Linked DNA regions of Notamacropus eugenii. The protein of the gene in region 2 purifies or fractionates together with the protein of the main gene of each other region. This does not show direct contact. Links are inferred from orthologs where the notes say so. Each region holds a gene or a part of one and is shown on either strand. Other genes may lie near its edges. The genes, in order: COPG2, COPA, COPB1 and COPG1.

The links.
Region 1: the proteins of COPA (region 2) and COPG2 fractionate together in Homo sapiens (co-fractionation; 4 studies listed by BioGRID and IntAct, with this or other methods). This does not show direct contact. The link is inferred for Notamacropus eugenii from reciprocal best matches to the Homo sapiens genes COPA and COPG2.
Region 3: the proteins of COPA (region 2) and COPB1 fractionate together in Homo sapiens (co-fractionation; 6 studies listed by BioGRID and IntAct, with this or other methods). This does not show direct contact. The link is inferred for Notamacropus eugenii from reciprocal best matches to the Homo sapiens genes COPA and COPB1.
Region 4: the proteins of COPA (region 2) and COPG1 purify together in Homo sapiens (affinity purification with mass spectrometry; 6 studies listed by BioGRID and IntAct, counting the BioPlex papers as one, with this or other methods). This does not show direct contact. The link is inferred for Notamacropus eugenii from reciprocal best matches to the Homo sapiens genes COPA and COPG1.

The regions. Positions count from the first base shown.
Region 1 is NC_092874.1:119,741,639-119,749,547, reverse strand, and holds the start of COPG2 (coatomer subunit gamma-2), read right to left. Parts: upstream 3,187-7,909; 5' UTR 3,182-3,186; coding exon 3,055-3,181; intron 2,724-3,054; exon of another isoform or gene 2,709-2,723; coding exon of another isoform or gene 2,615-2,708; intron 2,519-2,614; exon of another isoform or gene 2,396-2,518; coding exon of another isoform or gene 2,296-2,395; exon of another isoform or gene 1,822-2,295; coding exon of another isoform or gene 1,737-1,821; intron 1,160-1,736; coding exon 1,107-1,159; intron 518-1,106; coding exon 437-517; intron 1-436. UniProt on the Homo sapiens protein: The coatomer is a cytosolic protein complex that binds to dilysine motifs and reversibly associates with Golgi non-clathrin-coated vesicles, which further mediate biosynthetic protein transport from the ER, via the Golgi up to the trans Golgi network.
Region 2 is NC_092873.1:385,357,420-385,365,259, forward strand, and holds the start of COPA (coatomer subunit alpha), read right to left. Parts: upstream 3,042-7,840; 5' UTR 2,953-3,041; coding exon 2,913-2,952; intron 1-2,912. Other genes in the region: NCSTN (nicastrin), read left to right, coding at 3,189-3,273, 4,359-4,463. UniProt on the Homo sapiens protein: The coatomer is a cytosolic protein complex that binds to dilysine motifs and reversibly associates with Golgi non-clathrin-coated vesicles, which further mediate biosynthetic protein transport from the ER, via the Golgi up to the trans Golgi network.
Region 3 is NC_092877.1:37,925,219-37,932,241, forward strand, and holds the start of COPB1 (coatomer subunit beta), read right to left. Parts: upstream 3,151-7,023; 5' UTR 2,975-3,150; intron 1,562-2,974; 5' UTR 1,503-1,561; coding exon 1,412-1,502; intron 1-1,411. UniProt on the Homo sapiens protein: The coatomer is a cytosolic protein complex that binds to dilysine motifs and reversibly associates with Golgi non-clathrin-coated vesicles, which further mediate biosynthetic protein transport from the ER, via the Golgi up to the trans Golgi network.
Region 4 is NC_092874.1:425,498,012-425,505,734, forward strand, and holds the start of COPG1 (coatomer subunit gamma-1), read left to right. Parts: upstream 1-4,680; 5' UTR 4,681-5,125; coding exon 5,126-5,162; intron 5,163-7,723. UniProt on the Homo sapiens protein: The coatomer is a cytosolic protein complex that binds to dilysine motifs and reversibly associates with Golgi non-clathrin-coated vesicles, which further mediate biosynthetic protein transport from the ER, via the Golgi up to the trans Golgi network.

The DNA.
Region 1 (7,909 bases), on a different chromosome or scaffold from region 2:
AATATTTCTAAAATAAATTACTCTTTATTCATTTCAAACTAAAATTTATTTGAGTGCCTGTCCTATATGGTTAGCAGCGCATTCAAGATCACTGAGGTCAAAGACTGATTTTTGTCCGTGTCCCCAGCACAAAGTATTTGGCCTAGTACAGTGTAGTGCTTAATATATACTTGATAAACTGATATGGGAGAATACCAAAAAGGTACATAATATGGTCTCTGCCCTCAAGGACTTTTCAATCTTGTTATTCAATTAAAATAAACTTTCTGGATTTTAAAAAAGCTTACTTTTAAAAACGACAAATTTTGAAAGAATAAAAAACCATAGGACTTAAGCAGTCAAAGAGATCTTTAAAGTTCATCTAGTCAAACCCTTTCATTCTATGGATTAGGAAAACTGAGCCCCAGAAAGAACTGCTTCCCTAAGTTTCATTTACCTGGTTCAGTAAATAAAGGATCTTGGTCAGAATATGTAGACATCGTCTTGGATTGATAGGAGTCTCATTGAAGATACGAGCCTGGGGGAGCAAAGCAAATACATAGTACCTTTTCCTTCTCAATCACAAATCTCAATAAATTGTCTTCAACAAATTAATGATGTTGTCAAACTCTTTTATCATAAAGTCTAAGTAATATTAGTTAAATGAAGCATTTAGTTTATTATATTAGAAAAATGAACTAGGAAATATGTCTCTATATTATACTATTCCACTCTTTCCCTTCGGTTTAATTTCAGAATTTCATTTTTCAAAATAAGAATCACAATATTAAGGTAACTCAAAAAGCTGGTATGAAATTTAACATTTATAACTTCTGTCAGCAGCTTTATACAAAGTACCTGTTTGACATCTTTCATACCAAAATTTTCATGGCATCACAGCATATTTATGTTCTTCTAACATCCAATGACAAAACATTGTTCTTTTTTTCCTTTAGGCTGCATTATTTTATCTCATTCATTATATGCTTTAATTCAATACTAGGCAAACATTTTTCAGTCATGATAACTACAACATAAACTCTGAATGTCTCCAATGTCTCCTAGAGATGTTCTGATCCCACTCTGGGGAAAACAAACATAAAAGACAATATACTTCTAAGTCATACCTCCTGCAAAACAGCACTCTTCTCCAGATGCTGAAAAGGGTTAGAGCCACTCCCTAAAAAAGAAAACAAAATAGTATTGAGAACTAGCCACAGGCAAATTCATTTACCAACAATTAAGCAACACTGGAAACAAAATTTTAAAAATCGAAACAAATTCAGGAAAACTTTTATAAGAGCCTGAGCATCTGGATACCACAATGGCAGGCATTACTAAGTTGCTGGTAGATGAAATGAAGTGACCTTGGTTCTATGTCTAGCTCTGCTGACATACCTCCCGACTTTGGAACACTTACCAAAAATCTGACTTAAATAAGAATTATATTATGGTGTAAATGGTGGAGTGCCGGGCTTTGAAATAGGAACACAAAAGTTCAGATCCTAGCTGGGATTCTTACTTGTGTGACCTCTCTGTAACTCAGTTTCTATTTCTGTAAAAAGTGTGCGTGGAGGAAGAGGAGGTTGAATTTGATAGCCTCTAATATCCCTTCCATTTTTTAAATGTATGCCCCTATAGCCCTAGGGTAAGGTGGTAGGGGCTGAAAGCCCAAGCTATAAAACAAGTTTCCTGGAACAAATTCTTCTGAGATTTTCTGGGACAAAACTGGGAACTATCAAATAAGTAGGAATTACTAGGTGTAGACTGAAAGCACTTCCTATCCATTGAAGGCATCCAAAAGAAGAGAGTGAGATCCGTGAGCTTCTTGTCGCTATTCATATCTCACTTTCTCATCTTAAAAATGAAGGAGTTGGTCTAGCTGGCAGGGGGTCTTCTCAATGAGACTCATGACAGACTGCACGGGCTTCAAGGTCCCTTCCAACTCCATGGGCCTTTGTGACAAGCATGCATCAAACTGTTGTAGCACTTTGAGCTCTTTAACTAAGTACTCATTTCAGTAACTTTGCAACAAGGAAAACTGAGGGGAAACTTCCCAGAGTCAGGAGGCCCCGCCTCCGCTCCAGCCAAGATGCAGGCCTGAGTTCCCCCCGGGAGTCTAGGTCAAAGGCGCCGTTCTGCCACCAGGTGTTGGAGTCTGCCCCCTTTCAGCTGGGGGCCGGGGTCTCCAGCGCCCTCCACGTCCCCCAAGAGGGAGATCCACCGTGTCCTAGGCCGGCCCTGGCCCACTTGGGGCAGCCCTGATCGTGGGCAACTCCTCTCCACCGACGCCAAGTTACTCCTGACAAGAGACACCTTTGGGTCTGAGGGCAAGCGGGGAGGTTCTAATCCGTCTTCCACGAGAGGGCCCTTCAAATCCAGCCGCGATCCCGTCCCTCCTTCCTAAACCTTCCATTTTCCCACCCTCAGCTTCCCCGGCCCCAAAGCCCGGAGCTGGGCTGGACGGCCCACGAGGGAAGTCGGGGCCCCGGGCGTGTACGAACTCTCGCTTCCCCCCGAGAATGTGAACCAAGGAGCAACGGCCCTAGGTTTCAGAGATCCGGGGGTTCTCACGCTTCTTACCCTCGCCCCCCACCCCCTCCCACGCCGCCCCTTCGCCCCCTCCCCTGCTCACTTCGACCGCCTCCAGCCATGGCCCCGCCTCCTCTCCGCCACCAACCCCCGGGGCCGGAGGGGCAGGGCTGCGAGGGGCAGCGCAGCGGGAGCATGCGCCCGAGGGCCGGCCAGGGGAGGGCTCCCGTGCGCCGGGGCCGAGGGGCGGGGCGGGTGGTGTGGGGCAGGCCAGGCGCGGCGCACGCGGCCGGACCCGGAGGGGGAGAAGGGGGAAGGCAGGGTCTCGAGTTGGGGGAGGGGCCACGCGACGGACTCGCCCTGGTGGAGGAGGAGGGACTCCAGCTCCGAGCCGCTCTCAGCCCCGCGCGCTCCTCCCCCCTTCCCTCCGTCCAGCTCTCAGGGGGAGGAAGACGCGCGGCCCCCGCCCCTCCGCCCCCGCACTACGAGGAGGAAGCGCTGGAAAGTGGGGGTCGGAGGCGTTCCCCAGGTCCCTGCGTGTACCAGACTCTTCGTCCTTCTTGTCGAATTTTTTAATCATCTCCCGCGACAACTGATCCCTAGGCCAACCGGAACCGTCGGAGCCGACACCGCCGAGAGGAACAGGCTCCACCGGAAGCCCGGCCCCCATCCCTCCAGCTGGCTGGGCAGTTCGCCCGTCACTCCAGCAGAAACCCCGCCCCTTTCCCCTGCCGCGCGGTGTCAGCCCCGCCCCGCCCTGCCGGTAGTCACGCCTTCCCCTCCGTGCTAACACTCCCTTCCCTCCGTGCGCACAGATGCACTCGAACACGCGTATAGAGAGCACAAGTGGGTCGATTCTGCACCGACAGCTCCCATTGCAGAGCCGCGGAGTGACAGACACACGAGGTCCTTTGGGCTGGCGCTCCTAGTCACGCGGAGGCCCCGAGTGCGGGCCCGACCGTGGCAGTGGGTGCCGCGCCTCGGGAGCTCGCGTGACTCAGTCAGGAACCGCGGTCGTGTTTATGAACCACTGCGTGGCCCTCCCGTAGCGGAAGGGGCTCTCTCCTGGCAAGGGCACGGTCAGCGTGGGCTTCTCCTCCAGGAGGGTCGCGAGGGTCAGGGGCTCCCAGGTTACCACGGAGATCTTCCGTCTGCTCCTCGCTTCCCTTGCGGCTGCAGGCAAGCAGAGAAAGCCGTGAGAAGGTGGTGCCTCCGGGAGTGGGGCGCTTGGACCGTCCGACCGAGGAGAAGGTCCCTGCACCTCCGGGATGCTGCCCTCCAGCTGCCAGCCCACCTCCCGCCAGAAGTCCTTCCCAGCCCTCCTGATTCTAAGTGCCTCTCTCTGCTCATTCTGTCCGATTTATCCTGTACATAGCTTGCTGTGTCTGTATTTGTGTGCGCGCTGTCCTCCACCCGTTAGGTTGTAAACTTCTTGAGAACAGGGGCTGTTCTTTTGCCTCCCTTTATATCCCCAGCGCTTAGCACATGGAAGGCACTTAATGCTTACTGACTCTGCATTAGGAGGAAGGAGGCACTCTGTATTCCCAAGTCATGAGGCTCATTTCTACCCCCTTCTTTTCCATGATTTGTCAGTCAACATCAGTGAGATATTCTTGAGATCATATTGTCCTCCCCCTTTCTCTGTACGTTCTACTCCTCTGCCCTTAGTCAAAAAACACTGATTAAGAGCCCACTATATGACAGGCATTCTGTACCTGTGTATCCCCAACCATCGCTAGGGATACGAAGAAAAGCAGAAAACAGCCCCTGTTCTCAAAGAGCTTCTTGTCTGATGTGGGAGACAGCTTGCAAATAACTAAGTACATGTGAGATAGAGACAAGATAAATTATTTGGCAGTCTCCGAGGGAAGGCACTAAGATGAAGGACTGGAAGAGGCTTCTTGCAGGAGGTGGGACATTAGCTGAAACTTGAGGGAAGTCAGCTAGGAGGAGGCAGAAGTAAGGAGTGTTTCAGGCATGGGGGACAGCCAAGCTTTGAACCCACTTGGACTGCCCTTCTTTCCCCCTCTGCCTATCTATACGTCTCCACTCAGAACCACAGAGTCTTAAGAATCAGAAAAGATTTACTCCAATGACTGTCTAGTTTTACCCCTACCTGAAACAGAATCCCAAGGAGTCCTTCTCTAGCCTTTGTTTGAAGGCTTCTAGTGAGGGGAAAACTCCCATTCCACTTTTGAGCAGTTTTAATTGTAAAGAAATTTTTCCTTCCATTACTCATAAATCTGCTTTCTATAACTTCAACCCAAGTTCATCTCTCTGAGGCCAAATAGAATTAGATGAATCCTCAATTCTATGACAGCCACTGATTTGTGTGAACATTGTTCTTCATTGAGCAAAGAGGGAAATCTCAAAGGTTTGTTTAGTTTGCCTTTGGAATCTGGAGATTAAAGGAGATTTAGAGGTGAAAGGATTATAGGATCATAGGTTTAGAGCTTGGAAAGGACTTTACAATTCAAGAAGTCCAACTTTCTCATTTTACAGTTCTTGAAACTGAGGCACAAAAAGGTTTAAGTCACTTGCAGGTGGTCACACAGCCAGTAAAGATCTGAGCTGGGATTTGAATCCAAGACTTTCTAACTCCAAGTCCAACGCCATAGCAACTTCACACTGCTAAAAGGACTTTCAGAGGCCATCTTGTCCAACTCCTTTATTTTACAAATGGAGTTAACTGGTCCAAGGTCATACAGGTAGTAGTCATAAAGTTGGGATTTGAACCTGATCTTCTGCTGCTTTGATCCCCATTGTGTATGAACAAGTGACAGGCAAGTTTACTCTGGACATTCATCAAACCTCTTTTTACCTGTTCTCTAAACAAGTTCTAGTGTTTACTTGCATCCAGCCCCCAAAACAATGCTTTAATAGAGAGGGAGGAGAACTTCGACATCTTTCTTCTTACCTGACCTAAAATCTGGAACAAAGGAAAGTTCAGGATACTTTTCCTGCTGCTTCTTTAGGGCATGGAACTTTGAAAACTTGGCTTCACCCTTGAAATCAGCATTGGTGGAAAACCTTAACAGGGAAAATTCATTTAGTGGAGCCAGAGTCAAGGGTCATGATAGAAGGGAATCTGTCAGTTAAAAGTTAATTCCATTGTCTGGGTTTTAGAGAGGAAAGGAGCCTATGATTAATGGCGTTTGAAAGAAAAGAGGTTTATGGAATCTTAGAGGGTGTTACTAGGAGTTGGCCCTATAGGACTTATGAGCACATAAAGGAAGGTGGGAAGGAAAGGGGAATAGAGGGCGGAAGAAAAGAAGGGAAGAAGGAGAAAAGGAAGGGAAGTAGTTAAGGAGGTTGAACAAAAGTAACAAGTATTTATTAAGCAATTATGTTCTAGGGTAAGTGCTAAGTGCTTTATAAATCTCCTTAGATCCCCATAACAATCCTAGAAGGTAGGTACTATTATTATCCCTATTTTTCAGTTGAGGAAACTGAGGCAAACAGGTGAAGTGACTTGTCTAGGGTCACAAAGCTAGTAAGTGTCTGAAGCTGGATCTGAACCCAGGTCTTTCTGACTCCAGGCCCAGCACTCTCCACTACTGTGCTATATGGTATAGCAGTTCCAGAGTCACCTTTCTCTCTAGTTGGCCTCTGTACCAGGCTCCAAATCCAACACAGTGCTCAAACACATGAACAAGGGAGGCTTAGTAAGGGAAAGTGCTGGGGCTTCACCTGTACCACTGTTCCCGCTTAGGTATAGCATCCTCCAATATTGCTACAGGAAAGGGAGTCCTGGGTTCAGTCTTTAATTTCTTCTTCATCAGCGGGAGACCAGCATGAGTTGTGATTTTCTGTTGTTCTTGTGGCTGAAGAAGGGAAAATGATAGTGTTGTGGTTTACGGATGTGTTGTGGAGGAACCATCTCAAAGAATTCAGTCAAAACACCTCTCATCCAAGTATAGGCATTTATTGAGATTGGTGCCTCTCATTAAGTGGGCTAAGTTCCAAGAAGAACTATCAACTTTAGGAAAGCAAGATGGATTTTTATAGGGTAAAGATGCAGTTATGTAACAAAAATTATGAATATTAAAAAGGCAGGAGGAGTTTATTAAGGGATTAGATAATAAGGGAGGGCTCCCAACCTCAGTGGAACTGCACATGCGATTACTCACAATGCTACAGAAAAAAACCCATAAGGGGTTATGTATGTATGATAATGATATTATAATAAACCTCTCTATGTCATAAGTTCATCTAAAGGACAGCTTTTGCTATTTCTGCATAGGTGCCCACTTAGGGAAAGTCCCTTCTATTGTTTTGGGGTCCACATCCAGCTTGGTCATCCTGGTGCTGCTGCTTTCTGATTGGCTGACTACTGTGGTCCTGTCTGAGACTTGATGGATGCGGTTGTGGTTGAGTGCATGGATACACCTGCTGTTTCTGTGGGAAATATGAGGAGTGGGTCTGGGGGCAGTGGCTGGTGTCCTTTCACATGGACACGCCTGCTGTTCTGTGAGAAGAGGGAGTTCATGGACTCTTCTGTTGTTCTAGTGAGCAGTGATGCATATATGAAGAAGATAGGAGTACTGAGTGTGAGTGGGGGGCAGTGGCTAGGGAGGGGCAGTGGGCCTGCTGTTCAGTAGGGCCCAAAAGGAAGTTAGAATATTGGGGCTGGGGGTAGCTTTATTAGGATTACATCAATAGTATGTGAAAAGGCAAGATTGGCACATTGGGCTTTTAAGGTTGTGGAACTGGAACCTGGATTGGGTTCCAGTTCCACCCAAAGAAGTTGACAGAAAGTAACACCTGAAATAGTGTGATTTCAGCATCCATCCAAAGTAGCACTGTTCCCCAGAAGGAGTGGCAAAACCTCAGACTCAGAACCTTAGAGTTGGAAGGGGCATCAGAATCCACTAAATCTAACCCATATTTGAACAAGAGCTTCCCCTTAGATCATACCCAACCAGTAGTTATCCAGCCTTTGCTTGAAGACTTCTAGTAAGGGAGGTCAATCACCTACTTCCAGAGGTAGCCCATTCTACTTATGATTAGCTTTAATTGCCAGAAATTTTTTCTTAAATCAAGCCTATTCTGCCTCTACAACTTCCATCCAACGCTCCTACTTGTTCCCTCTGAGGCCAAGTGAAAAAAAAATCTAACCTCTCTTCTATGTGACAGCCCTTTGAATACTTGAGAGTCATGGCAGCCCACAGCAAGTTTTTTTTTTTCCCAGACTAAACATCTCTACTTCCTTCAACCAGTACTCGTGTAGTATGACCTAAAGACCTTTCTTAATCTATGTTACTTTCTTCTGGATATTTTACACCTTATCAAGGCTCATCCTAAAATGTGCTTCCCAGAAATGATCACAATAATCCTGAGATGATTTGTTTAGAGCAACTGCAATAGTACTTTTATTTCCTTAGCTCTGGACACTGTT
Region 2 (7,840 bases):
CAGCCTTGAAGACCTCTAGGGATGGGAAATCCATTTCTAAGGCAACTCATTTCACTTTTTGTTACCTCTAATTGTTTTGAAATGTTTCCTTATGTCAAGTCAGTTTGCCTCTCTGAAATATCTACCTGTTGATTCTAGTTTTGTCGTGTGAGATCAAAGACACAGCTATTAAGATATTTGAAGTAGTTATTGAGCCCTCCCTAAATCTTCTCTTCTTCAGAAGTCCTCAGTTCTTGCAACTGGTCATCGTGAAGTCCTTCATCTCCTCTGGATGATGTACAGCTTATAAATGTCCTTCTTAAAATGTAGTGTCCAAAAAAAGAATACCTCTAGATGTGATCCAAGCATGTCATGGCACAGCAGGATTATCACCTTTGTTCTGTATATTATATCTCTAAACGTTGCCTAAAATACCAATAGTTTTTAAGCCACAATATCACACCATTAACTCACACTGAGTTTGCAATTCATTAAACACTCAAGATCTTAATTAGGAGAACTGTTGACTAGCCATGCTTTTTCTCCATCTTTAACTTGTAATGGTGATTTTTTGAACTGAAGTAATGGACTTTATATTTTTCTTATACAAGTTAGTTATGATAGATTTCAGTCCAATATTCCAGACTGTTAATACTTTTTTGGATAGTGATGTCAATTTGAACTCATTTGACATACTTGTGAGGAATTTTTAAGGAAATATAAGTTACATCTTTTATAATGTAGTTGCATTATGAAAAGGTTTGAAAGTTACTGACAGACTAATGTTTCTTGTGTGATACATCCCGTAATCAATACACCAATAAGCATTTATCAAGTGCTTGCACTATCCTAAGTACTGGGGATATAAATATAAAATAAGACAATCCTTGTCCTCAAGAAACTTTCATTTTAATAGGGGAAGCAATATATTGACAGAGAAGTAACTACAGCATATACACAAAATAAATACAAAGTGATGGAGGGGAGGGAGCAGATACTTAGAATAGGGGAATCAGGAAAGATTTATTGAACGAATGGTTATCTGAGCTGAACCTTGAAGGGAGCCATGGGTTCCATTAATGGAAGTGAGGAGAATGAAAAATTCTAGTCAAGGGGAGAGCCAACAAAAGATACAGAGACGAGAGATACAACACTATGTACCAAGAACAGCAAGTCTAGAGTACAGAATGTATTGTAATAGATGGGAGAGGATAAGCGATTAGCTATTATCTCTCTTTATTCCACCTTTCTTCAGAGAAGTCAAAATTTAGCTATATTTTAATTCTCATTTATTCAGAAACTAAGGCTTTTGGGGAACAGATGGCTTGCTTATGGTCATATGTAACAGTTGAACACTTTGGACATGGGATTTCTACCTACAATTCCTTCTCTAGAAGTCATAATTGTAACCAAGGGCTTCTGTACTAATGCTACAAAAGTTCTTGTAACAGTTATTTGTTCAAACTACTAACTCCTTGTCACTTAAGGTCATAGAAAAACCTTAAATGTACGTTATGATAATCAAGATCTTCATAAGAACCTGATAAACTCGGAATGACCCTTTATAATTCCACTGCTTACTAAACCTAAAAGATGGGATTTGACTTTTAGTATCCTTATAGAGTTTACTCCCCTACCTTTTCCTTCCTCTTCAGATTTTATTGAGAAATCCCTGACAGAGTCCTGGGAAGCATACCCTTCTCTTCTCATCTCCTCACCTGGTCAGTCAAAAACCTTCAGGTTTTAGAGTACAGACATAAAGGAGGTGAGGAGAGGTGAGGGAAAGGAATAAGCATTTATATAGTGCCAACTACATGCCAGGCACTGTGCTAAGTGCTTTTTACAAATATTATCTCATTTGATCCTTACCACAACCCTTTGAGGTGTTACTGTTGTCGCTATTATGCAGATGAGAAAACTGAGGCAATCAGAGGTTGAATGACTTGCCCAGAGTAACACAGCTAGCAAGTGTCTGAGGTCAAATTTGAACTCAGGTCTTTTCTGATTTCAGTCCCAGGGCTCTATCTATTGCACCATCAACTGCCTCTACAAGGTAGAGGAACAAGATAGTCTGGCGACAGAAGAAATTGATGAAAATCAATGGGATGGGAATATTGCAGCTTCTAAAGTAGAAGTAATTAGTCCTTTTCTCGCAAAAGTTACCTAACAGAAACAGGTAGGTGGGAACAGGATCAGAATTCAGAACCCAAGAACTATACCCATAATACTTAATTTTGATACATTAAATAGAGCCTTGACAGCTAGAGAAAGACCAGGAGCTGGTAAACCCTTAGCAACATTATCCTGTCCATCCTTTCACCTTTTCAGAGAAATCAAAAGGATAAAACAATGACAACCCTCATTCACAGCCCAGGAAAGACTAGGGAGGGGAATGGGACTGTGTGTGTACCCAAGGTGATTGGGGATGGTGGGGAGTGAGGGGTCTGGGGAAGGTACATAGATAGGTCTATCAATGAACCAACCTACTGAGGTTGCAAGAAGGGCCTATCTATTATGGGATAGTGCTGGGCATGGGGGTATAGAAAAAACATTATACGGCAGTCTGTGCACTTGAGGAGCTTACCTTCCAGTACACTGGGACGTGATCACAGTTAAATAAGTAAGAAATACGAATTTCCCCCCTCACCCCATACATTTGTGTCGGGGAAGGCGTTCTGGATAGCGAAGGTACCCGGGAATGGGGGAGGGGAGAAAGACGGGGAAACGTAATAAAAGGGGTCAGATCTGAAAGAGCGAATGGGGGGAAAACCCAGGGATCACCAAAGTCCCTCTCCTTCCAGGCAGGCTCCGACCCGATCCCCTCAGGCCCCAGATTTCGGATCGCTTTTCCTCCCCTCCCCCCACCCCCCCAGGGCGAAGGCACTCCCTCAGGCGCCACACCCCGGGTCCCTCGGCTTCCCCTTCCTCCCCACCTTTGACTCGCGCACTCTTGGTCTCGAATTTGGTCAGCATCTTTGTCCGCCCTAGTCCAGGCCCCGGCTTCGGTTCCGGCCGCGGCCCGAAGCGCAGCCCGACTGGCCCGGGTCCCCTCCACGTCAGCACCGCCCCGCAGCCGCAGCCGCAGCCGGAAGCGCCCTACGCCTAACGCACTTCCGCCTGAAGGCCACAGAGACTGGCAGGGGAGCGGCCTAGAGAGGCCTCTGTCAGGCTGGAGGGGGCAGGAGGCGGAAGCGGCCCGGAGAGGCAAGATGGCCACTGCTGGGGGCGGCGGAGGAGCCGCCTCTGGGGGCCGGCGAACCTGCCTCCTCTTTTGCTTCGTTCCTTTGCTGGCAGGTGAGCCCTCCCCACCCCCCCGGAGCCGCGAGGGCCTCTTTGCGAGAACTTCCTTTACTCCGAAACCGCCCAGGCGCCCTTGGGTCCTCCGTCCCGCCGATTCGCAAACCCCCCTACTCGGCGTTCCCCCGACACAAGTTCCGCGCTTCTCGAGGATTTAAAGCCCCCGTTCTGCCCCCAGCCCGGAGGAGCTGCTGTCCGAGGCCCCCGCCTTCCCGCTGGGCTTCTTGGAGGCCCCCGGGCGGTGGGAGTCTGGGATCAGGCTCGTTCCCATCCCTGTACCTCAGTTTCTCCTCTCTGCCAAACAGACGGAGACGGACTCTTGGCCGCTTTGGCTCTTCCGAGCTACGAGGAGAAGTTTCCCTGGCCCTGAAGCTTTGGGGGGCGGGGGGCGGGGCTGCAGCTGGGGTTTGCTTTTCCTGTGCCTCTCGTGTGGGGGGGGGGGGGCTCCCTCTCTCCAGCTACCTCCGTGCCCTCCCCAGCCCCAAGGTGGTAGCCTTGGTCCTTCAGGATCTCCCTCCCGTGACTGTAGTGGGTGAACTTGTAAGAGCTGCGTCTGACAGTGGCGTGTGTAGACCGGGTTTCCTCCCTTTCCACCTCATTTCTTGGGAATACAGAGAAAGACTTTGAATCCAGGCACTGCTCTGGAGCTCGCACTCTTTACAATTAATCAGTAATCCACACATAGGGCTTCCTTTGACCACATTTTCTCTTATCTGGGAACTAGTGTGATTGCGCTACCGTGGTTAGTAAGAAACTTGGATTTCTCTAGTGTTTGGGGGGAGGGGTGGAAGGAGCGTGCTCCTTCCTGTGTCCTAATGGACATATTGAGTGAAGATAATATGCATTATGTTCATTTAACAGACCACGAAACTGAGCCCAGAGAGGCTGAGTGATTTGCTTAACGTAAGGAGATAGATAGGTTAAAGGCACGGCTAAAACTAGAACCCAAGTTTCCCAACCCAGAATTTTTCCTGCTGACATATGCCAGTCTCATGCCACCTCCTTGCTGAGAAGATGAGTAAGGGAACTATGCCCCTTTTATTTTTAAAACTTCTTTCTTACACCTGTTGCTTTCTCTTCAGGTCTGTGCCAAACAAATTCAGTGGAGAGGAAGATCTACATCCCCTTGAACAGAACGGCTCCCTGTGTCCGCCTGCTCAATGCCACTCACCAGATTGGCTGCCAGTGTAAGTTGGCAATTAGTGCTTTAGTGCTCCGGGAATTCCAGAGCCTGTATTAGGTAGACTGCAAGTTAATTGGGGGTAGCAGAACACAGTCAGAATAGGGAAGAAGGGAAATCAGTGGGATTACATCTGACTGTTACATTGATCTTTTCAAAAAATAAATTTACTAATACATTTTTTGATTGGTTGGTTTTTTTGGAGGCAATTGAGGTTAAGTGACTTGCCGAGGGTCACACAGCTAGAATCTGAGGCTGGATTTGAACCTAGGTCCTTCTGATTCCATACATTTTGTTTTGACACAGCAAATCCTTCCCAACAAATAGCTAAACAAACCCCTTTACAAAGTACATCCCCCTACAGGTTATTGATTTTTTTAAAAACAGAATTGTCTTAACTTTGTCTAGTGCTGATGATCATTGTTTTTGACCAGTCCTTTGTTACCTCTCTATACTGATCTTAATGACATTGTCATTAGATAGAGATAATCTATATCTATATGGATTATCTATATAGATAATCCATATCTATGTATTGATATCTATCTTTTTTGCCCTTCTGTATCTGTATATTGATATCTACCTTTCTTTTACTTCTGATTTACTTCATATGTCTTCCCACGTTTCTCCAAATTCTTTACATTTGTCGTTCTTTACGGCTCAGTAACATTAAATTCGAGTATAATTTATTCACCTAGTTCTATGGTCGTTGGGCATGTATTTTGTTTCTCACTCTCTGTTATTACAAATAATCTTGTAAATTAAAAAAATATATATATATATATGTCTTTTTTTGCTTTTGATAAGCTCCTTGAGATGTAGGTCAAATTAAATCTCTTGAGTCAAAGGGAATGAACAATTTAATAAGTTCTTATGTGATTCCAAACTTTTCTAGAATGGTTGAACCAAGCCATAACTCCATTATCAGTTAATTATCTTTCTTGTTTTCCTGTAACTATTCCAGGGATAGGTTTTCTCCTCCTTTAACATCTTTGCCACTTGGTGGTTATATACTTGAGGATTATCCTAATTTCTCTTTTCTTCTGATTATTAATGACCCTCTGCATTTCCAAGTGGTGATAAGTAGCTTGTATTTCTTCTTTTGAAAACAGTTCGTGTCTGCTGTGTGTAAGTGTGGTCCAGTGGAAAGAGCAGTGGCTCAGAAATAGAAGACTTGGATTCAAATCCCACCTCTGATGCTTGCTCTGTTTTTGATTTTGAACAAGTCATTTAACCTGCTTGAGCCTCAGTTTCCTCAACTGTAAAATAACTTGGGACAAAAATGGAAGCTTCTTCATTGGAGTAATGGTCTTGCTTGTATTTATATTTCAAGAGCTTACAAAGTACCTGGCACATAGTTAGCACTTGATAAATGCTGTAAATAGATGGTCTCTGAATTTCCTTTCAAGTCAGGATCTGTGATCTTTTGACTATTTCTCTATTGTACAGTGATATTCTTAGAGTCTGAGGTGGACTTCTGAGAAGCAGTGAATTGTTTGATAATGAAGAAACTCTGAGAATGCTAATGAGTTGTCATCCATGGGAATGACATTCAATGAAATCATGAAACTCTTCTTATCAGAAGGAGAGATGAAGCAGGAGGTGGTGCTAAGAAGCTTCACATAAAAGAATATCACAGAGGAGAGAATGGGGTGATTGACTCCCTGTGGTTGGTGGTCCATGATTTGATTTTTATTCCATCAGCAGCACCTATTTCTGGACATCAAATTTCCTTTTGAAATAGGAAGTTAGACTAGTACAGAGAGTCTAGTATGAAACTCTTTCTACCATACTGTGTGACCTTGAACAAATTATTTCACTTCTCTGAGATGTGGGTTCTTTTCTTTCCATAAAAAATGATGAAATATTCCTTCTTTCTTTTCTTTCAGTGGAGGATTTGAGGTTCAGTGAGAGTATTTCTTTAAACTCATAAAGATAAGCTTAGTCTTTGTAGATTGTAATGAATAGGTATTTTGGTTTCAGCAGCTATTTGCTGTGAAATAAAGCATCTGGGATAGTTAGGGATACCATGTCACCATGATGAAGAGAACTGTTCAAATGGGTGGAATGGTTCTGAGAGCCCTGGATTACTAGTGTGTTATCTCCCCATTATCAGCCTGTCCTGTCTTTAGTCAAGTAGTTGATGTTTTGTTGCATGACTGCAGTAGCTACTTCCTGGCTGGGTTAGCTAGTTCTAGACAGACCCTTAAGTTATAGGATCATTGCTGGAAATATACCCAACATGGAATGAGGGATAGTGGATCTGTTATGGTCTCTAACTGCAGTTTCAGTTCCAACCTTAAGTATAGGGGCTTGAACCCCATTCTCCTGGAACCAGGTTCTGACAGTGCTTGTCTTTTAAACCCTTTTTGGCAGTGACTCATCCATCATGCTACCTATGTTTACCACAGCCTTGTAGAATGTATGATCTTATAAGCAAAGCTGAGCATTGGAAAGAGGAGGAGCAAGACTCAGGCTATTTCCTCATTAGAAACCTGTTTCCTTTTCAATCTGGCTAGGTCTAAGTTTCCCTCTTCAGGTTCATCCACCTCTGAACAAGGCTACACCTTCTTTAATTGGGATTGCTAACATGATAATCCTCTGGGGAAATAGTGAGGCACAGTATTGGTTTACTGATAACAATATCCCATGTTTATTGGACTCCTTTCCCTAGGGAGCTCAAAGGCTTGTGCAGGTTCCTTTTTCATACAGTCTGTCTCTTCCTGGGGAGAGGGTTAGGGAGCAGCTCAGCCGATTGCCATTTTTGCCCAGAGAGATTAAGCAACTTGTTTAAAGTCATAGAGTGAACCAGGGATGCTCCCCAGACTAGAATCTAGGTTTCCTATCATTTTTCTTTTCTCCAAGCCTCATTAAAGCAGGAGTTACTAATCTTTCATAGCCACTATCCCTTTTTCTCCCCGTAGGTTACATATAGTACAATTAGAGAGATCTACAGGTCATACTCAACTAGAAATAGATCATAGTTTACGTACTGACTTAGGAAACCACAAATTAACATTATCTATGTTGTATTGTTTTTTCATTTATTTTGTTAAAAATGTCCCAATTACATTTAAATCTATTTTGCAGCACTCCTTGGTTTTGCAGGCCAAATGGGGTCCAAGTTTGTCTTCTCTTGTCTACAGTGTACTTCAAATCTTTGTAAAAGTTATTTCAAACTTGGAGCTTTTTCCAAGTGTTTGTCACCTGTGGCCATTATTTCCCATGCAATACCTTTCCTCCATGTCCAGCTGTTCTTTCAGGGTCCCAATCTAGTTTCTAGAAGAGAGAAGCTAACAATGTATGAAACTGCATGAGAACTTGTGGTTTTGTCCTGTGTGGTTCTGTTTCCTTATAGATGTGGGAGTTTCACTGCATACTGGC
Region 3 (7,023 bases), on a different chromosome or scaffold from region 2:
CTCCTCTGTGCCTCAGTTTCCTGCAGTTTCTGCAGAGAATTAAGGCAGAATGAGAGAGGAGAAAGAATACAGAACTTTGGAGTTTGTGTTAAAAAAGTTTGTGTTCAAATTCTTTCTTTGACATTTAGTATTTGTATTACTATAGATAACCTAAGTCTTAGTTTATTTATTTATAGGAAGGGATAATAATACCTATCAGCTGCCCATCTAACAATGTTTCACTGGGGATCAAATCACACACACACACACACACTCACACATGGACACCCCCTCACACACTCTCACACATACACACTCACACACCCATGGATACCCCCTCACACCCACACACACACCTACACCCACGGACACCCCCTCACACACACACACACACTCACATACACACACACACACACACACACACACACACACTCTCTCTCTCTCTGTCAATTGCTGCGTAATGCCACTTACTGTTATAATTATTGTTACTGCTACCTTTCCTTCTAGCCCTAAATCTTTGGATCTTAGGTGAGAAGTCCATCTCCTTTGGTTTACCTAAAGAAATATAAGAAGACCCTACAGGGGTCTCACAAAGAGACCAAGACAGTTTCAACCTTGTACACACACCATCAATTACCCAGCACTTCTTAATAAGAAGAGAAGCCCTTTAAAAATCAAGGTTGTGTTTTTTGGGAGGAGAAAGGGAACAAGCATTCACATAGCTCCTACTCTGTGCCAGGCACTGTGCAAAGCACCTTGCAAATGTCTCATCGCACAGCCCATCTCTTATGTTCTCTTTGCATTATTCAGACCACGTCCTACTTTCAAATTTCAATCCAATTTAAAAAATATTTGGTGAGTGCTGATATATGCAATGTACCATGTAGGTGCTGGAAATTTAAACAAAGAATAATACATGCAAAGTCTTAGCACAAGAGGTTTTCATTTTTAGTGACAGATAATCACAGAATATTCAGAAGCACTTTTACTAACCTATTTATACACGGTTTTCTTCATATAAAAACTCTGGATTAAAATCCCCTACATTAACCTTTCTTTTATGCCTCTTCATGTTGTGATGATGACCATAGATTCACAAAGGCTGTGTCAACAAGGTTCAAGCTCTGGCTTACCAAGGAGAAAAGTTCTGAAAAACTGCTTTTTATCACTGGAAAACCAGCTTAGCAAGGTTCAGAAAAACACATTCCCAGAAAATTAGCCAAAGTGTAACAAACTTTGTCCCACAACTCATGAAGATGGTACACGAAATAAACCTTAAGTAGGATTGTGAGCTATGCTGATAATGGCGGGCCACACAAAGATAAAACCATGGATCTCGTGTATTGAAATCAAACAAAAATCTATGTTTCTAATTATAAATTACCTCCATAAACAAATATGTTCATGTCAAGGTTTCCCATCCTTCACTTACCAAGGTCATTTTTTAAGATAATTTCTGATGGTGGTTCTGAATCCATTGGTACGTTAATTAACGTATAGCATACATTTTCTGCAGCAGTCATGGTGTTTGGTTATGGGTACTCCACAGTGCAAGTATTTTTGATGACAGGTATCAGAAATTCTAGAATAAGTACAAGATATCATTACTTATTAAAAGTTTCGATAAGTCAACAAACATAATTCTAACATGGGCAACGAAAATACACTCAGGTCTGCTTAATAACTTTAAAACAATCTTAAGATTGGCCTGGCATAGCATCGCATGTCTGTGAATCTTATGACTGGGGAAGCTGAAGATGCTGTACTGCTTGAGTTGGGAAATGTTTAGCTCACTAAAGTCAATTGGGCATCAGTACCAATATGGGAGCCTTCGGGAGGGAGGGGGAAGAGCCACCTGGCTGCCTAAAGAGAGGACAAAGTGACCCAAGTTGGAAAAGTAGCAAAATCAAAGCCTCTGGGCTGATCCAGGCCAGGACTAGCCTGTGTGCAGCCAATGCCCTCCCAGCCTGGGCATGGTGGGGAGGCAGTCTCCATTTTTTAAAAATAATTGTAGTCTAAGATTCCAAGGCAGTTATTTCATTGCAATGAATACAGGGTCACCTAAACGTGCGCCAGGCATCCCTTGTACAAAACAAGTTTCCGCCCAGTCTAGCCTTCGAGACTGGCAGCCCTCAGATTAGGCTGCAGAGAGGTGCCCAGCAGCTGGGGACAAGGCCAGACCCTGCCCCCCCATCCTGCAGAGTCCATCAGGATCCAGGCCACTGAGGGGGTTTGGGAGACACCTGCATTTCCTTCCTTACAAGCTGGGAGACCCCAGGTCCCTCACATTTCCTTTCCAAGGTAAAATGGGGGCAATTTTTCTTCTGCCTATCCCCCCTTTTTCTTTACCCACTTCAGGGTGGTTTTGGGGAGATTTCTAAGAGCTAAAGGGCCAAAGGATATCTTTGTGATGATGGGACATCATTATAGGGATGACAGGGACAGTCGATCAACGCGCATTTATTAGGCGCCTGTGGTATGCCGGGCGCTGGGGATATAAAAGCTCCTCCAGGAGCTGCCAGTCTAGGGCACGCTGCCTGCAAACACCATCCAGGGGAATGCCAGGGAGCGCCAGGAAGAGCTGCCCTGCAAAGCCTCCCCTCGAGGGGAGCCGGGGGCACAGAAGGGAAGGGAGAGCATTCCGGGCGGCGGGGACGGGCGGGGGAAAAGCCCGGGGTCAGGAGATGGCCGTGGGGAACGGGCAAGCCAAGGTGGAACGGGGGAGGGGGGGCTGGGTGGGGCGGCTCCGGCCCAGGCAGGAAGGGCTACAGGTCAAGCCCCGGCTTCCCGGGCTGTGTCAGCACCCCCAGGGTCGGGGGTCGGAGGCCCGACAGGCGTCCCCCCTCCCCCACTCCCGCCCCCTGCCCGGCCTGGGGGGAGGGCTCCGAGGACAGGGCCGAGCAGGCCCAGGGACGCGACCCCGCCGAGGGCCGCCCTCCCGCCCCTTCCCAGCGGAGCGGCGCGGCCCCCACTCGGGCCTAGCCTCGACTCCTACCCGCTACCCGGCCCGGGGCGGTGACGGCGGCAGCAACGGCAGCGGCGGCTCCGGCTCCTCAGAGTCCCGGGCTGACGTGGAAGGGATGAAGACCGAAGCCACCTAGTGTCTACGGCGGCCCGGAGAGGACACGCCTCCTCCCGCCGCTCAGCTTCGCCTCCCACGTCCTAGGCCCCGCCCCCACATTCTAGGCCCGCCTCCTACGTCCTCGGCCCCCGCCCCATCCCCGCCCCCTGCTGGGCGGCTGCGCGGTGCCGAGGCTGGCTACGCATCCCTAGGCTCAGCGCGCCTCTGTCCCTGGGATCCTGGCGGCGTAGCCCTGCTCCGGGCCCCGGAGAGACCTGGAGCGGAGCTGAGAATAGCAAGAGTAACGATAATGTAACGTAATGCAACATACAGCATATAATTGACACAATGTATCGTGTCGTTGGGCGGCACAGGGCGCAGACCGCTGCCCCTGGAGTCAGTACAGCTAGCTGTGTGACCCTGGGCAAGTCATGTAACCCTGCTTGCCTCAGGGTCCTCTTCAGTTGGAGAAGGAGATGGCAAAGCACTCCAGTGTCTCTGCCAAGAAAACTCCAAAGGGGGTCAGGGAGAGTGGCACACAACAGAACTACAAGCCTTATATTTCCTGTTTATATCTTGTCAGATTCTTCTCTGCTACTGGATGTGTAACAGTAAGCTCTTTCAAAGGCAGAGAATGTTTCGTTTTTCATATCTGTACCCTCTGCCCTTAGCAATCAATCAGTCACTTCCTAAACATTTACTAAGCACCTACTATGTGCCAGGCATTAAGCTAAGCACTGGGGATACAGTAACAGGCAAAGATGGTCCCTGTCCTGGAGGCTCTGCACAGTGGTTGAGTGAAATAATAGGGATAATAGTAATTACTAACATTTATATAGCGCCTTACTGTGTCAGTGGTACCCTGTCAGTAGCTGTTGCAAGAAGGTTCATGATAGCTGGAATTTTCCTGCTTTAGTAGAAAACTCAAAGAATTTTCATAAAATTCTTAGTATATGCTAGAGACAGCCTCACCACTTGGTCAGATCTTGCTTTTCTCTATCTCTGGTAAGCATTCCCTAGTCATGGCTCCATGAGTCTCTCCAGGACTGCTGGTGGTATTGAGGGCTCACCTGGCCTGATACGTGCTGCCCTCCCTTCTCCTATTACTACAGCTTCTCAGCACCCAACACCGTCCTCCCCAGGACAGAATTAGCAGCATGGAGTATATTTCTGTTGCCATCAGACTTGCTGACCCTGTGTGAGAATTGCCAGTGATTGATCACACTGGATTAATGCTTTCAGGCAAAGGTTTTATTCCCTTGGCAGATGTGAAACTATCAGAATAATTTGAGAAGCTTTTGTGCCCTCCCAGGCAGTCTCTTGGAAGGTGCCTAGCATCCCTTTCTTCCTTGGCACTCTACTACATAAGGCCTTTCCCAAGAGTTTTATCTTTTCTCTCCTAGGGGCAGCTAGGTGGTGCAATGGATACAGCAGGAGTCAGGAGTACCTGAGTTCAAATCTCACCTCAGACACTTGACACTCACTAGCTGTATGACCTTGGGCAAGTCACTTAACCCCAGTTGCCTCATCCTGGGTCATCTCCAGTCATCTTGATGAATATCTGGTTCCTGGATTCAGATAGCTCTGGAGTAGTGAGGCTGGATGTAGGGTTATAGGAAGACTACAATACATTCAGAATAATGGAAACTTCTTATACTGTTCCAAATTTTGGATGTCCCTTGACACTGTCCATTGCCACAAACAGCTCGTCAAGCCTGTGCACAAGTTTCTGACCTCTGACCTAACCGTGCTAGGTCACAATCCTGATCACCCAAAGCTTGTGGAAACAAAACTTATTGTTTCCCACAAGGTATCAGCCCTTTCTAGTCATCTTATTATCAAACAGGTACTTATTACCTATTCTATCGTATCCTCCAAGTCTACTCATTTGAGATTTTAAAGAAAACACTCAAAATTTGTTCCAATTCTGGAAGTTTTCATACTTTTTCCCCTATCATTGTTGTTATTCAGTCATGTCTCACTCTCCCTGACCCCATTTGGGGTTTTCTTGGCAGAGATGCTAGAGTGGTTTGTCATTTCTTTCTCCAGCTGTTTTTACAGATGAGGAATCTCAGGCAAACAGGGTTATGTGACTTGCCCAAGGTCACACAGTAAGTGTCTGAGGCTGGATTTGAACTCAGGTCTTTCTGACTTGAGGCCTGGTGCACCTTCCACTGTGCCACCTTGTTGCCCTCCTTTCACAAGGCAGTTGGAGTCATTTCCAAGGTATATTTCCAAGGTTCCTTCCAACTCTAAGACCTAAGATCTCTGAGAAATGGTCATTCAACCTCTGCTTGAAGACCTTCAAGGAAGATCATGTCTCAAGGTAGTCCCTTTCCCTTCGGCATAGCTTTGTTAGGAAGTATTTATTTAAATACTTGCTTCGATAGCTTCCAACAATTGTTTTTGATTCTGCCCTCTGGGGTCAAAAAACCCCTAAATCCATTCCCTATAACACATGGCAAAATAACTTCAGACAGTATTGATGAGCAGCTATGATAAATCCTATTAAATCTTTTCTTCAGGCTAAATTAGCCCAGTACTTTCAACCAATTCTTAAATGTCAGTTTCAAATCTTCCCACCATGCTAGTCAATATGTTACATATAAATAATAATAATAATAATGAACGCAGTGCTGCATAGATTACATAGGTTTCCAAAGTGCTTTATGTCACTTCATCTTCATAATCTGTAAGGGAGGTGATATTATTATCCCCATTTTATAGATTTTATAGATGAGGAAAACTAAGATCCAGAAAGGTCAATTCACTTAGCAACACGCAGCTAGCTAGCAACACACGGTAAGGCAGGAGCTGTGACCATAGGAGGAACAATGACCAGGCTGCATCTCATAGGGGCCAATGGCTGAGGGAATTGTTGATCCCAAGGCTCTTGGTCTCAGAATTCTGGGCTGTTTCCTTGAGGCCTGAGGGGAGATGGTGATCAGGGTGGTGGTTTGCTGCCTATCTCTCCCTCAAGGGCCCTTGCTGCTTCAGCTAGGCTGGCGGAAGGTGGGGATGGTTGACCCGTTCTCCACAGGAGCTGTTTCCCAGGAAAATAGCTGAGGGCACTGGGCTGGAAGCATAGCTAGCTATTCCCAAGGCTCCTAAGTTCAGGGTCTTGGGATGTTTGCCATTAGTCTGAGGGGAGATGGGAGTGGTGCTATTACTCACCTGACACTCGCTGGCTTGACTTCACTTCTCTAAAACCTGTTTCTTCATTTCAAAAATAGGACTCTCAAAACCTGTACCGCCCACCTCCTAAGGTTGTTGTAAGCAAAATCCTTTTTAAACTATAAAACTACTTAGACGTCAGTGATTATTATAGGCAAACTAGCAAATAATCCCCGTCTTTGGTACTGGTCTTTGGGCCATATGGTTTTTTTTTTTTACAAGACTGACTTTCTTACTAGTGTTTTATTATGTCTAAATTAAAATGAGTTTAACTTCGCACAGTGGTGATAAGGGGTGGGTCACAAGTTTAAGAACAGAAACTAGAGATTATATCCTTTCACCTAGTGATCTCACTGGTGGGAACATACTCTAAGGAAGTTAATGACAAGGGAAAAGACCCAAGAGTACAAAAAATTTGTAGTACTGTTATTTATAATATTGAAAAACTCTTAACTACCCAAATATCCATGGACTGAGGAATGGCAGAATCTGTTCCCCAGGATTGTTAAATGTTCCCAACCTTACCTCTGCCTCTCAGACAACCTAATTTCCTTCACAGCTCATGTGCCATATTCTACTTTTCCATGATGTTCACTAGAATGATGGCTATTTCCTTTAGAAAAAATGCCAATTTTTAAAGGAATGGGTCCCAGATAATTGGGGTGTTTCCTCCCACCCCAGACCCTCTATTCCAAACTACACCTGTCAGCTGGTCAAGAGATTTCCAGCTTCACTGCCCTGTCGTCCTTATTTGAGGGCTGAGAATGAAGGTGATGATATATTCTTTTTCCCTTTTAGTTCAGCAAATT
Region 4 (7,723 bases), on a different chromosome or scaffold from region 2:
TTATTTTATGCATTTAAAAACATGATTCTGAGAAGGGGTCCATAGGTTTCACCCCAGGCTTAAACCATCATCCAGCTCAGGTGTAGGTGCAGAAAGGTCAACATATCACAGAAGGGCTAAAACCATCCAAGCAGAGCCCAAGTAAACTCATGATGGCGGAGACGTAGGTATCACCACTGATGCTCACATGTGTGGTTCGTGCTGTGAATATATGCTAATGCATATGTGTCATTTTTTGTATTCTGGTTTTCTTTTTTACTTTTTATGTTTTCTGATTTATGTACTAATGACATGCATTGTACTAATATATTACTGTTGCTAAGGATGCTTACTAACCATATAATTTTACTGTTTTACATTCACATCCTTATATACTAGGTATGTATATTCATGGGTCTTTGTAAGGTATTCTTGTAATATATCCCGCATATAATTTAGGCCTCTAGTCATAAAGTAGTTCTATCAAGTGATAATTTGCATTATGCAGTGCTTACTGCGGGTAATGTTAACATAGCTATGATCTGTAAACAGTACAGTGGAATGCTTTAAGTTGCTGTTCAAGTGTATCAGTAAAACTTTGTGGGGACTATAAAATCTTTTGCTGAGAGGTAGGAATGTAACAAATGTGTAGTTAGGAAGAGCCTTTCTTTGAACTTTTTGGTTTCGGCCCAGAACTACACATTCCACAAATGAACCGGAGAGCTCAGAAGTGTCTAGTACTAAACAGCGAGGAGATGTGGTTAAATGTCAGGGGAAATGGAGTTCTTTAAAAGACTGACTGGACCACGCAGCTGTGGGATTGCCCAGGACAGGGGAACTGGACTCATACCAAGAAACAGTCATACCAGACAACCATGATATCCACGGGGTTGGATTCAACTTGCCTGGTAGAGGGAGTCCCTATCTTCTTCCCTTGGGCTTTTGGGATGGGAGACTGTAGCCACCTGGGTTTCTGGGAAGTCAAATGACATTTCGATAAGTATTTTGAGAGAAGTAAGGTCAACATACCTGCACTGGGATTTTGTAAGAGAGCTCAAGAGTTCTCCTGGTCAGGGATTGGTTGAATTGGAAAGCCTGACGGTAACCTCCCCCACCTGTCCCTTTTTTTCTATTTATCACTGACATTGACAGGAGGAATAAATAATATTGTTCCTTTGCAAGTGGCTTCTATTAATGTTGATTCTCTGGGGTTTTTTGGGACAGCTAGGTGGCACAATGGATAGCTGGGAGTGAGGAAGACTCTTCTTCCTGAGTTCAAATCTGACTTCAAACACTTACTAGATGTGTGACCCTGGGCAAGTCACTTAACCCTGTTTGCCTCCATTTCCTCATGTAAAAAATGAGGTGGAGAAGGAAATGGCAAACCATTTCAACTTCTTTGCCAAAAAATATCCCCAAGAGTCAAACACAACCCAACAACAAATACTGTGTTTATTATCTTTCTATGTCTTGTAGTAAACATACCTAAACTATTATTTGAATCTGTTTTTCTTTTAGTTCACGTGGATTAGGGACTGAGGCAATCAAGATATGAACCATACACCTAAGATATATTTTAGAGATGTTCATGGAATCAAAGTCAAAATTGTAACATTTAGGAAATATTTTATGTGAATGATTCTTTCACATTTTTAAAAGCCTAGAGAGAGCCTAGAAGAATCTGGATCAAGGTTAGGGGGACAGAAGCTTGCCATATATAGCAACCTCAACAACTGTGGTCAGCTATTGAAAACTGTGCTTCCAACATCTCCCTTGAGGAGAGACAGGATAGAAGAGGGAAAGAAACAGGCTCTTATTAAATGGCTACAACGTGCTGGGCAATGTCCTAAGAATTTTACAAATATCTCATCTGCTCCTCACAACAACCAAGGGAAGTAGGTACTATTATTATCTGTATTTTACACTGAGGAAAATGAGACAGAAATTGAATGACTTGTCCAGGGCCACAGAACGAGTAAATTTCTGAGGCTGAATTTGAACTCAAGTCTTACTGAGTCCAGGTCCAGTGGTTTAAAAACTTTGCCACCTAAATGGACCTCTAATATTACTGTTATAGGGAGTTCCTTCTTGCTAAGAAACTTTTCCTTTCAGCATTTATTAGCATTTTTCTGTAACCATTTTAGAGAGTTGCCTTGAGGGATGGGGATAAAACTTCTCACTCTATGAGGAACCTTTCAGGCCTCTTGCTCTATGTGGAATGTCTATCATCTAATTTCCTTATTTTACTAATAAGTAGAGGCTAAAGAAGGTGACTTGTTTAAGGTCACAGAGTAAGTGGGTGAGGTGGGAATAGAACCCAGTCCTCCTGTGCTGTGGTGAGGGATGTTTCCATTCTAATTATGCTGCCCCCACCTAGGAGGGAGCACATTTGTTTGGCATCAAAGAATAAAGAAAAAGCATTGGTCTTTGATTCAGAAGACTGGGATTTGAATGCTGTGATCTTGGACAGGTCACCTAACAAATGAGATAATATTTGTAAAATGCTTAGCATATAGTAGGTTATATATATATATACATATATATGTACATATATGTATATATATATATATATATATAGCTTAATTCTTCTTGGCCTCAATTTACTATTTATAAAAAACAAGGGGGTTATATCTCTCCAGCTCCTGCTTGCTTTCCATTTATGATCTTCCTGTTGTGATTCGTGGCTTTCTGGTCCCAGGTGTGACAGATCCCTGGATGGAAGGGCTAATACGTGGCATAGGAGAATTGCTGGTCTGTGGCTTCCTCTGATTCTGTCCTAAGAGCTCCCTCAGGAGAGAGCAGGGCTCTAGTGACAGACAATGCATCTGCTGTCTATGCTGGCTCATCATAAGAATGTTGGCCATGGAAGGAGAACTATTTTTGGCCATACCAGGTCATGAATATCATCTCGCTTAGGAAGGGAGTACCCACCAGCACTGAAGGAAACATTAATTTTAAAGTAGAAGTTCAATTGAACATTTTATCTTTCACTATTTTTACATCATTCTCTGTTTCATAATGCATCTAAGTCATGTCTCCCCAAAGAGACTGCGGATTCCTTGAGGGGAAAGATAGATACTTTGATTTAATGATGGAACCTAAGATTGGTATACAGTTAACACTCAATATTATAACAATCCATATTTGTATAGCATAGTGCAGTGTACAAAGCATTTTTCTCACTACCCTATGGAGGAGATAGGGAAAAAAATATTAAGTGAATTAAAGAGGAATTTCCACATCCATAGGTCTACTTATGGTGTCTATGCAGGTAACTCATCAAAGCTAAATATTCAGCACCTCCCTCTCTTCTGAATTTCAGTCTTGCATCACCAATAGCCTCTTGGACTTCTGGAACTAGAAGTCTTGGAGATAGCTAAACTCAACATTCAAAAACAAAGCCCATAGTATTCTTTTCCTCTACCCTCAACCCCCTGATTTTTGAAAATTTCCTATTCCTGTCCCAGGTACCACTATCCTTCCTGTCTCCCAAGTTCCTAATCTCAGCACTATCATTAACTCTTTAATTTCCCTCACCCCAAACATCCAGTCGGTTGCCAGATCTTGATGTCTCTTCTTTCACGACTTTTCTCTTATCCAACTTTCTCTCTGCTCATTGAAAAATCCCCCCTATTTCAGGTCCCATCACCTCTCATTTCAGATTATTGCACAGGCCTCCTAACTGGTCTCCCTGACTTCTCTTTCCCCATTCCAGATCACACATCTGCCTATATTACACCTACTCAAAAACTCTAGTGGCTTCCTATGGTCTCTAGGATTAAATGATCCAATAAAAACTCCTCCGTGTGCCTTTCAAAGCCCTTCACAAGCTGGCCCCGACCTCTATTTCTGGCTGCATTATACATTACTGTTCCTCCTAAGCATCTTGGTCCAGTCAAACTGGCTTTATTCTAGATCCTTACACACCAAGCCCTTAATCTCCCATCTCCACGCCTTTGCCTGGAAGGTACTCCTTCCCCACTTCCTCCTCCAGAATGTCCCTTTTCCTTCTGGATGGTTAGCTTTTATCTTGTCTTTCTCCTGTACATCTGCAGACATGTATATAATGTCTCCTCGAACAGAAGCTGAGCTCCTCGGGAGGAGGGACTGTTTGATTTTGTATGGGTTTCACCAGCTCCCACAACAGTGACCAGCATGGGGCAGGTGCTGGATAAATGCTTGCGGAAGGGAACGAGCTGTTCACACGATTAACTTCACACTTGCCAGGCTCGTGGTCACCGAAGACAAAGGTCCCGGAACGTGGAGTCCACGGAGAAGCTCGGGTTCAAAGCCAGACTTTGCTCCTTCTAGTTGGGTGACCTCGGCAAAGCCCCAACTTCTGTTTCGTCGTCTTTAAAAAAAATGGGGGGGAGCGGTGGGCTAAGACTCTTCCTCTTCCTTCAAGCTCCAAAGGACAAGACCCCACGACAGAGGAGATGGATGTCGATGGAGGGAAGCGTCCTACCTGGGCAGGTGGGCCCGCGGCTGCTGAGGAGCCACGCTCCGCCCCGGGCAGGACGGGGTTAATGGAGTAAGCCCTGAACTTGGTCAGTTACAGCTTCCAGCTGGGAGGCCTTCAGGCCATAGTGTGCGCAGGCGCGAGCAGAAGGCGCAGCACTGAGCCCGCCCCACACGCGGCAGGATGTGGTTAAGCGAGAGCGCCTTCTAGTGGTCTATCGAAGCTTCTTCAGCTTTCCGGTCAGTGTGCGCAGGCGCGAGCAGAAGGAGCAGGGTTGAGCCCGCCCCATACAGGGCAGGATGTGGTTAAGCGAGAGCGCCTTCTAGTGGTCTATCGAAGCTTCTTCAGCTTTCCGGTCAGAATGTGCGCAGGCGCTGGCAGAGCGAGCTGTCTCGGGCTCGCAGGAGCTCAGCCTTACAGAACTGAGCCGGACACGACAGGGTTAAGCCGAGAAACGTGTCTGCCGTCCAGGTCAGAAGGCTCGAAGTAGACGGGTCTAGGCGTGCGCAGGCGCTCTGAGAGCGAGGGGGGCGGGGTACGGGAGGATCGCGCAGGCGCGCTACGCAGGGAGACGTGTCCCCCGGACTGGGTGGCCGGAAGTAGCCCGTACGGACTTGGATCTGGCCGGGTCTTGCAGGCGTCTGCCCGGTCCGTCAGTGCTGTCTGTCAGTTCAGCCGGCCCCCAGGATGCTGAAGAAGTTCGACAAGAAGGACGAAGAGTCCGGTGAGGGCCGGGGGGGCGGCTCCGGGACCCCGGGCCTGATGCAAGGCGGAGGGGGACCCCCTCTCCCCATGCCAGCTAACGGGCCGGGCGGGGCGGCCGGGCGGGGCCGCGGGGCCGGCGGGTGGGGGGCGTCCTCACTGCCCGAGGTCAGGGGCCCAAGCTGTTTGGGGAGCACGTCCCTCCTTGTTTAAAGGGAAGGCCTGCCGGGTGCCAGGCCCGAGTGAAAAAGCTGGGCAGACCCTGTCCGCAAAGGGCTTATCTTCTGCTGTGCAGCGTGTCACATACTTACAGGACGTGGGGGGCCGTTGACAGTGGGGGGACAACATGTCAGATAATTACAGGACATGGGGGAACGCTAACAACGCTGGGGGGGAGCAGCATGTCATAATTACAGGACGTGGGGGGCCATTGACAGTGGGGGGACATTAACAACACTGGGGGGGAGCAGCATGTCGTAATTACAGGACGTGGGGGGCCATTGACAGTGGGGGGACATTAACAACACTGGGGGGGAGCAGCATGTCGTAATTACAGGACGTGGGGGCCATTGAAATGGGGGGACATTAACAACACTGGGGGAGCAACATACAGATGTTGGGACTTGGGGGGGACATTAGCAACACTGTACATTCTTAAGGATTTATATTATCTTAGAACCAGCAGCATGTGTACATACAAGTAAATGCAAAATTCATACAAAGTAAATAAATAATCCAGGAGGTGAGGTAAGGGGATACAGTAGCACCTGCAGGGATAGGTAGATAGTGTTATTTGAACCAAGTGTTCAAGAAAGCTGGTTATTCTAAGAGTCAGAAGTGAGGAGGGAACACTTTGCAGATACAGGACAGCTTTTGCCATGACATCAAGATGGACGATGGATTATGTGTGTGCATATTAGTTTGGCTGGAATGAAAGGTGCATGAGGCATGTGATATGTAATAAGTCAGGAAAGGTAAGTTTGGAGTAAGTGTGAAGAGCTTGCAATACCAGCTGAATTTTGTTTTATCCTAAAGGTTATAGGGATTGGAGCTTTTTAAGCAGTGGATTGATCTGGTCAGGCTTTGCTTTAGTAGTGTCACTTTGGTAGCTGTGTGAGGGATGGATTGGGGAAGGGAAGGATTTGAGAGAGGAAGACCATCTAATAATCCAGGCAGAAGGTAATGAGTTCCTGAAGTAATGGTAGATGTGTGAGTGGAGAGGAGATGAATGCAAGAAATGTGGTGGAGGTAAAATTGACATTTGACCATGTTGGATGTGGCAGAGGTGAAAGAGACCTAGTTGAAGTCGCCTCAAAATTTTGAACCTGGGCAAGTAGAATAGTGGCATCCTTGATAAAAGGATAATGTGGGAGGGAGAGTACTTAAGGTACTTCAGCCAGCGTGAGGTACAGAGACTTTTACAGGATAATAGGATTGAGAGGTGGCAGAAATCTTAGAGACTATCTAGCCTAAGCCCCTTGTTTGATAAGTGGGGAAACTTGAAGCCCAGAAAAGATGAGTTTACCCCCAGGCAGCACAGTAGGTACCAGAGTCAGGACTTGAACCTAAATTAATCTCTTCCATTTATTTGTTCATTTATCCATTCATTACATCATTCTGTCTTTCATATTAGTAATTTAACAAAATGTCTACTATGTGCAAAGAGATATCAGTCAGTCACTAGCATTTTTTATGCGCCACCTGTGTGCTAGGCACGAAGATAAATGGAATAGATGCCTTCACAGAACTTATAATCTAATAGTAACCAAAAAGTATTCAGATATAATGCATGTTAAATGATTATAACTGTGTAAGGGGAATGTCAAAGTACTTTGAGATCAGATGAGACCAATCACTTTCAGCTGTCTAGCTTGAGGCAAGAAGGAGATGAAGGGGGAATTCAGGAAAGGCTTCCTGGAGGAGGTGGACTTTAAACTGGGCTTTGCAGAATAGGTAGGATGTCAGATGATGGAAGTAGGTGGAAGAAGACTTCCAAATTTAGAAAGTAATATAAATAAAAGTTCAAGAGTAGAAAAATTCAGGTCAGTTTAGGAAACAATGAACCAGTCTAATTTCACTGGAATGTGGAGTACTTGAGGGAAGGTAGAGTGAAATAAAACTGGAAAAGCAGGGAGGTCCCAGATGGTGGGAGCCTTAAATGCCAACCTGAGAAATTCAGAGACAGTGATATTGTCTAAGAAGTTAAAGTATTCATAAGATTACAGGTTTAGAGCTAAAAAAGACCGAAGGGTCATCTAGTCCAGCCCCTTTTTATTGATGAGGGAATTGGAGACCAGAAACATGCTTTTACTTGCTTGATAATTACTCAGATTGTAAGTACGTAGTAAGAATCAGAACTTGAACTCAGGTCTTCTCCACATCCAGTCCTCTCTCTATTGCATTATGCCATCTTTGTTCCTGTCCTATACTACACAGGGTGCTTACTACTCCTTGGAAGTTAGTTATCAGGAAAGATATAAACCCAGAAGACCAGAAGCCCACCAGGACCTGGGAAAGTTCTGTCTAGTATAAACTTTGGCACCATCCTAGTTAGAGAGAGACAGAGGAAGGGCAGAAGGATAT